Linked DNA regions of Oryzias latipes. The protein of the gene in region 2 interacts with the protein of the main gene of each other region in a pairwise test. Links are inferred from orthologs where the notes say so. Each region holds a gene or a part of one and is shown on either strand. Other genes may lie near its edges. The genes, in order: ccnl1 and prpf40a.

Region 1 (3,823 bases), on a different chromosome or scaffold from region 2:
ATTTTAAGTCTGGTAGATATTTATTCAAATGTTTGTACATCTAAGCATTTTTTGTTACAGTTAGAAAACGTTCTGAATGGTTTGTTGATGGTAATGTCTTAAAGGAAGGTAAAACATTGGTTACATAATTTTTATAGCGTTGTTTGTTCTTGTAGACTTTAGTTTGTAACGTAGCACTGACCCATGCTAATTTTTACACTGCATTTAGGTTGTTAGTCATGGGGACAGCTTTTTTCCGGTCCTAGGTTTAACACAGGTTACATTTCTTTTAAAGCTGTGGATCAGGGCGATTGAGATGGGGGCAGTCTACAGATTCCTAAAGCTTTGTTTGAAACCACAGGAGTCCACAATCCCACCACACTGTCAGGCATGCAAACAGTGTACCTAGTTGCTTTGAGTTGGTTGGAAAGGGAACCAAGAGTGCAAGGATCCAAAAAAGCACTTTCTTCTCTTTGTTACAAAAAGACAAAACCCCTTTTTTATTTGAATTCTTTTAAAAATAGGACCCCAAGTCCATTGATACTTGATCAAAACTACATTAATACCAAAAACCAAGTGATCAAAGCGGAGCGACGGGTCCTTAAGGAGCTGGGCTTCTGTGTTCATGTCAAGCATCCACATAAGGTGAGCCAAAGCCACACTTTTACTTATAGCCTCATTTTAACCCATGCTAAGGCAGCTGCTCAGGACCATTTGTCATCATTCAGTTCTTAATAAATACACTTCTCTGCAAAGGGCTTTCTACTGACATGTTTGCTGTGTGTTCTAGATAATCGTCATGTACCTCCAAGTCCTGGAATGTGAGAAGAACCAGCCTCTAGTTCAGACGGCCTGGTAAGTTCTGGCTTTTTTATAATCTAGTTTTTTTTTCCAAGCACCCTCCATAATCATCCCCACAGCGACAGCCTTTATCATGTCTGCCAGACGTACCGCCAGACCTAGGCTTAATGCGGAGTTGAACAAGTTTCAAACAGTTGAATTCCTGGTGAGGACTTGATGACTCCTCAGGATCTTGTTACGGTGTCGCTCGTCACATTAAATATAGCAGTCGGACGTTACTCAGGTGCTCATACTGGAAGCTAGCATTTTGAAACGTGCTCTAAAACAGATTCACTCTGTCCTGACTGCAGCATTTTTCTAAACGACTGAAGCGTTTATGCAGCAAAGCCTTTTTTAACGTGTCTCACTCTCGTCTGCCCTTGCATAGCTTTCTGTGTAGTCTGTTTGATTTACCCAGAGAACTCGGTTTAACTTTGTCCTTTCTCTCTACTCTTTGATTAAAGGGTAGTCCATGCTGGTAAGTCACATAAAGAACCTCTGAACTCTGCCTCCTCCAACCACATGACCTCAGGAAGCTCCCCCCATTGGTTGGCTGCCCTTCTCCTGACAGCCATTCCCAATGCCGAGATTCACTGAAGGGGGCGGGCGAGCCTTTCCCTACAGCCAGCATCGTCTTGTTTTCTCTTGGGTGTCCAAAAGGATTTGTATTTTTTGGTCTTGCTCCAAGATCTCGGTTGTGATTCCTTTGTCCAAATAGCTGCAGATAGATTCGTATGCTGTCTTGTTTTTAGTTTACTTGCATTTAAAAATGAAGTAAACTTAGCCAGATTAAAATATATATTTATATATATTTTTTAACTTGCCCATTTTACCTGCCCAGTTTAACATTGAGAGTAGACTGAAATTTCTCATGCCCAACTTACATGGTGTGTAGACATGTCTGTCTTGCAGGCTGATCCAGTCCAAAGATTTTGGCTCCACGGATCTGTTCCAGCCGCGCAGCAGTCAGAATCCAATGGCCATGTTGTTTCTTGAGGCTTCAGCATGTCGTTTTGACTATGACCGGTTCTCTAGGCCATATTTCAATAACGTTTGAACTTAGAAAAAAAGATTCTGACTGGAACCATGTAAACACATAGGTATGACATGACACGCCAAACATGCTGCTTTCAATCAGGAAATGAAGCAACTTTTAGGATGTGGGCAAAGTCTCCAGAGTTTACAAAACACCAGCAGCGTTTTTTTCTCTTCACAAGTTAGGATTGTGATATTTTATAAATGATATCATCCCCCCCCATTTTTGTATTTATGACTTCTATGTTTCTGGAGAGCATAGACGATCCCATCACTGTTTAACTCACAGTCGTGCATTTTATGTTGTAGACTTCACCACTAGGGAATTCTTGGACACGCCATCTTTATGTTTATATCACTCACCTTAGGTAGTGAAGACGATTGTGTGACTGAACACACCACACACTGGGGATTGTTGCCTAACTCGATCTGTGGGGGCCAGTTTTAAGTGTGACATCGTGTTGATGTCCGGTCCATTCATTAGCTCATGCATGCTGACAAACATGCTCTTCATGTTTGTACCTATCAAACCCCAAATCTGGAACTGCTGGTAGCTGCTTTCTTTTCCTGCATTTTCCCCAAACTTACAAGGCATGTATCATCATTTGATTCCATCTCTGTGTCCTAAAGTTTCTTTTGTTTTTTTTATTCTTTGCTATTACATTTCCCGCATTTCTTTCTGTGACATGCTGTCTTCCTGTGGATGCCCGAGAGAGAAAAGGACAAAGTTAAACAGGATTCACTTTAAAAGGCTTAAGTGTGATGTTTGTATTGATGGATCAGGAAAACTCTTTATTTCTCCAACCCAAGAAAATTGAGCTTTGTTTTTTTTATTTTTTATTTTTTTACCAACACATTACTGAAGTAATTACTGATCATAAGACATTAATCCTGCAGTGCGTAGTTAGGGGCGGTTGTAGGAATGAAGGAGAAGTGGCTTTGGTTAGAGATGCTATGTTTTTGTTGGTCTGTTTTTTTCCATTACAGGAACTACATGAATGACAGTTTAAGGACCAATGTGTTTGTGAGATTCCAGCCGGAGACCATCGCTTGTGCCTGCATCTATCTAGCTGCCCGAGTTTTGCAGGTACCACCACCAGCCAATCACTTCAATGCGTTTTCATTTTATGGGTGCATCCCTGTGTGGTGAGTGTTTATTCATTTGTTTTCCTTCACAGATCCCCCTGCCATCCAAACCTTACTGGTACCTGCTTTTTGGGGCCAGTGAAGATGAAATCAAAGAAATCTGTGTGACGACGCTGAGACTGTACGCGAGGAAAAAAGTAAGTGTTGCCAATTTCCTGCCTTATCTGTAATAAATCCCACATAAATGTGCAGGGAATTTGGCTTTGTTCTCAATGTAATTTTCATCCAATATTAAGAAACGCGGAACAGGTGAAGTTTTTGATCATAAGTCTTGAAAGCAGCACAAACGTAGTCTTTAGTTTTCTTTGACTAAACGGTATTTTTCCTCTCCCAGCCCAACTATGAGCAGCTGGATAAAGAGGTGGAGCGGCGGAAAGTTTTCCTGGCAGAAGCTAAGCTGAAGGCCAAAGGCCTGAATCCTGATGGTACTCCTGCCCTGTCCACACTGGGGGGGTTCTCCCCCGCGTCCAAACCGTGCTCCCCGAATGTGGCCAAATCGGAAGAGAAGTCTCCAAATCCTCCCACAATCAAAGCGGTTAAAAAAGAGCAAGACAGCAGAACCCAAGTCAACAAAAGTCCACCCAACGGGTAAGAAACTAACATGACTGATCGAGTCATGCGTGTGCTGCAACACCAGACGATCACTCAGCTTTGATTTCAGTTTTGGACTTTTCCACGAGCTGATAATTATAAATAGGTGGTTAATATACGTTTATCCAGAAGCAGGAGGAATGGTCATTGTGGTGACGACTTCTAATGTGAACATTTATCATTTTTACAAACAAAAGTTACACATATAATCAGCTAAATTCTCAACAAACAA
Region 2 (4,325 bases):
ACTGCCTCAAAATGGCCTGCAGCAAACATTGACCAACTCATATATTGTGAATCAATAGCACAGACAAAGATGAGGTACTGGCGAACTGGGTTAGGACTAGATCATAAGCACTCAGTGGCTCAGGCGGTTGAGCAGGTCGGCCAATGATCGAAGGGTCGGCGTTTTGATCCCTGCTCCCCCCGGTCAACTATCGTTGTGTCCTTGGGCAAGACACTTCACCCTCCCCGCCTCCAGTGTGGTTCCACTGGTGTGTGAATTCGTATGAATGCCCCGGTGATGGTCAAAGGGACCATAGGCGCATACTGGCAGCCACGCCTCTGTCAGTCTGCCCCAGGGCAGCTGTGGCTACATCAGTAGTTACCATCACCAAGTGTGAATGAGGAGAGAATGAATAATAAACATGTTGTAAGGGTTTTGAGCGTCTGGAAAAGCGCAGATGAATCCAATACAATACTATTTTTCTTATAAATATAGTGTTTTTAATGTTTATTTGGAAAGTGGGAATTAGTTGAGCCCTGGTTTAGACATCTAATCAACCTAATTGTCAAGAAACAGAAAAACGACAGGTGAAATGTAGTATCAATAATTAACCCCATGCTTAAAGCAAAGCAAAAGAAAATATTTGATAAATGTATCTTTAACTGATTCATTTGTTATTGTTATTTTTTATTTCAGCTACTCCAAATTCTACATGATGTTTAATCAAAAAACAGCTCTTTCCGTTTTTGTGTAAGGCAACCAGCATTACACTCAAGTATAGTCATCTTTACCCGACTCATTTTCAATGTACCTAGTAAAGAATAAAGATAATGAAATCCCTTATAAGACTATTCTTGGCATAATTAACAGCCTTTTAGTGGCATTTCTTCTGCCCTATTTTGGCAAAATATCCTTTTCAGATTTCTAAATTGGTTGAGGTTACATTAGATGTTGAGCAGGTCTGGTAATTGTCAAGAAAAGAGTGAACACATTTTATACCATTTACAATCATATGGACATATGAGTTATTTCATAATAATATGTGTGATGTTTTAAGTGAAACATTTGACTCAAAAGTTACATTGAGCCACACTCTTTTATTTGCCCTACTTTTAATTTGTTATATAGTTCGTTTGTGTTGTGTTTTTTTCCCTTTGAAACTCATAAATCTGGAATTCTTCTCCCCTCATCCCCGTTGATGCGCATGTCTGCGCACATTTAGCGCAAACTAACGCCACTGAGCTACAAACTTTGACCTCTTTGCGCCGGAAGCAACGTCGACCAATCGTATCGCTCTTTGTTGGGAGGTGCTGATGCTCACATTTGTCGAAGGCTCATTGAGACAACATGGTAAGTATCGTTGCTTCAAGTGCTAGTTTTTGTTTTCATGTTATATGCTAAATGCATTTTGTGGCTTTAAATTCACTACTTCTTGAAGGTTATTTTAAAGCTTATTTTACTATAGAGGGGCTAGACGTTTCAACAAAACCGCGACGTTAGCTTTTTTGTTAGCATTTAGCCGAGTTAGCGTCATGTCATCGACTATCACCATGAGAAGAAACACTAATAAGGAAAGAATAAACTCCCAATTGTAAAATGAATTTTGTTCTGTCAGTGTGGCAGTAGATAATTTATGCATTTTATGTAAAGGTGGTTTGGTGTAAAGGTCACAATCGCTGCCTCTCTTACTCTTCTTAGCCAGAGCATAGACCTAGCCCGTGTCCTCCTCGTTATAACAATCATTAACTGATGCTTAAGAATTGAAGGAAGGGTAATTAAGAATAGGGACAGACTTTTTATATTTCATGATAATCCATCTATCTACACGAGATACTTTTTTATTGACCAAAATTATGTATTTTTACACTTTTGTACCTATATGTTTATTTGTGAAATTACAGTTAACCTAAACGATAACTATAACTTGCTCACTTTAAAAAAATGTATTATTTATAAACGTTTTAAATGGATTTCCTTAAAATAAATTGTCTGTGGTAGTTTAAGACTATTTTGGGGGAAAAACATCTTGACAATGAATAACTAGATTGTTTTTCCTGCGGATATACATTTAATTGTGCATGTAATTTGAATTGATTAAAGTTGTAGATGTTCTATTTTAACGTGTTAGATAAAGAAAAACAATACAGGCCAAGTTCCAAAAAGTTAGAACTAGAAGTACTGTTCAACTAAAGTTTAAATGTTTACAAATGGTTAAAATGTTATATTTGTCAGTAAAAATCAGCTTCAGGTGTCACAGCTCAACAGGAGTATGACTAGCATTTGAGTTCAATGCATTGTTACATAGTTGAAAAGTATTAACAGTCTGTGAAAAGCAACTTGAAAGCTAAAAAAAAAAAAACTTTAAAGTTGGAATTCTGCCTCTGTCTCAAAAATTGTGGGGAAGGGTAGTTAAAGCAACTGCTCTATACAAATCTAAACATATATTATTTTGATCAAAATTATTTTCGTTGAAGCTTTTATGTCCACTTAGAGTAGAAAGATATGGTAAATGGATCATTTCTATTGCAAAAAGTATGCTAAAGTGAATCATTTCCCTCCACTAACTATAATAGAAAAAAAACATCTTATTTGTAAAGTAACGAAAATACTAAAAGTAGATTAAAAAAAACTTGCCTAAAATAGAGCAAAATTTTCCCACTCATGCTGTAAATGTTTTGCTTTTTAACAAAATCCCACTAAAGTATGTTGTAGATACGAATGGATAAAACTGGTACACAGACGTAGTTGTTTGAATAAAACAATATTTTGTTTGTTATAACACCATCAAGCCGAAGAATTCTTACTTTCTTTTCTATCTTTTCTTAATTGGATTATTCTATATAAATACAATTCAAGTGGTAAATAGATCCAATGTCTTCAACTGTAAGTGATTTTAAACACAGATTGTTTAAATATATAATCACAATAAAGCAAATGAAATCAAACTTTATTTATAGAGCACTTTTTAATACTTTATTATTGCAAAGGTCTTCACACACAAAAAATCAAAGAGCCAATGCTGTTTTCATAAAAATAACATCAAACTAATAAAAACACAATGCTCTTAACTCCCTGATCCCATCACCTCCACATTAGAAAACATTAAAATGAGCATATATTTGAGAGTAGGAATAAAACCAAAGTGAGTATCTCTAAAGTAATTTAAATTAAAACTCTTGTTTTAACACGAATCCCCCCCCCTCCCCAAAGTCACATATTTATTAAGTGACATGTTTTTACTTTAGCCATCCATTAAGAACTGTTTCACTTTCCAGTGTTTTTTTTTCATTCCTGAATCTTTGGATTTTATTTACAGCCCCTTGTTTAACCATTTACCTGCTCAGTTTAGACTTTCTGGTTTAACTTGATGCCTTGTATTAAAAAAAAAAACACTTGAAAAAAGTGTTAAAAACAGCTGCAGAACTAACGGCTGAAAATATAAATGACTTCTGTAGATAAAACCTGATTTTTTATTATTACCTCTGACAACGTCTGGACCACCCCACCTAAAACTCCAACTTCTGTCATGAACGATGTCGTTGGTTTTGCTCCTTATTTTTCATGGGTATATTAGGGTGAAACTTAAAACCGCGCAAAAAAATTTCTGGCAGATCGTCTTAAAAACTCACAGTGGCTTGTTGCAACAGATTTTTTCTCATCTTTTTAATTTCTATCTCAGAATTGAAATGCTTGGAGGAACACAGAGTACAGTTTAGTTACTTCATTTGTTGTCCCCCTGAAAAATCCATTGTATGACGTCAAATATTGCCTGTCTAGCCAGTCAGAGAACCTATTACATTTAAATTACTAATTTTAATTAGTTTAGCTTGGCTTTTAAAACTCCAGCTTCAAATGAAAGTCTAAACTGGTTTCAATTAGGATTTAGAACATTGAAGTGCACAGTAAATGTAAAATCCTAGCAATGAGATTTGTTTATTTAACACCATAATCACTTTCAATTTTTAAAATCCTATAAAATGCTGTTTTTGTAGGAATTCTGTCATGACTAGTTTAAACAAAATATATTTTTTAATATATCAGTAAATGTATCATCAAAATATTGGGATTGCTATTTTTTTATACTGATTGACTTTAAAATACTTATGCATGTTTTTATGAAAGGAATGATATTTGTCCTCATGTAATTACAATGCTAACTTTAAGTTAGTTTGTTTCTATACTGCTTTGCTTTAAATATTTTCTTTGGCAGGTCAATAAACTTGAGGATTTAGATTTATTGGTTTTTCCTAAATAATTGACTCTTAAGGGACTTTCCAAAAGTACAAGTTATGAGTTCTGACTGTGTTTTGTTTCTTTTTCTTAACAGTCTTCAACAGAAGCTAACA

What was found.
Region 1: the proteins of prpf40a (region 2) and ccnl1 interact in binary tests that used the Homo sapiens proteins (3 or more experiments, as listed by UniProt). The link is inferred for Oryzias latipes from reciprocal best matches to the Homo sapiens genes PRPF40A and CCNL1.

The regions. Positions count from the first base shown.
Region 1 is NC_019871.2:24,442,152-24,445,974, reverse strand, and holds part of ccnl1 (cyclin-L1), read left to right. Parts: intron 1-503; coding exon 504-624; intron 625-769; coding exon 770-834; intron 835-2,841; coding exon 2,842-2,941; intron 2,942-3,032; coding exon 3,033-3,137; intron 3,138-3,334; coding exon 3,335-3,588; intron 3,589-3,823. UniProt on the Homo sapiens protein: Involved in pre-mRNA splicing. Functions in association with cyclin-dependent kinases (CDKs). Inhibited by the CDK-specific inhibitor CDKN1A/p21. May play a role in the regulation of RNA polymerase II (pol II).
Region 2 is NC_019879.2:20,298,697-20,303,021, reverse strand, and holds the start of prpf40a (pre-mRNA-processing factor 40 homolog A), read left to right. Parts: upstream 1-1,203; 5' UTR 1,204-1,326; coding exon 1,327-1,329; intron 1,330-4,306; coding exon 4,307-4,325.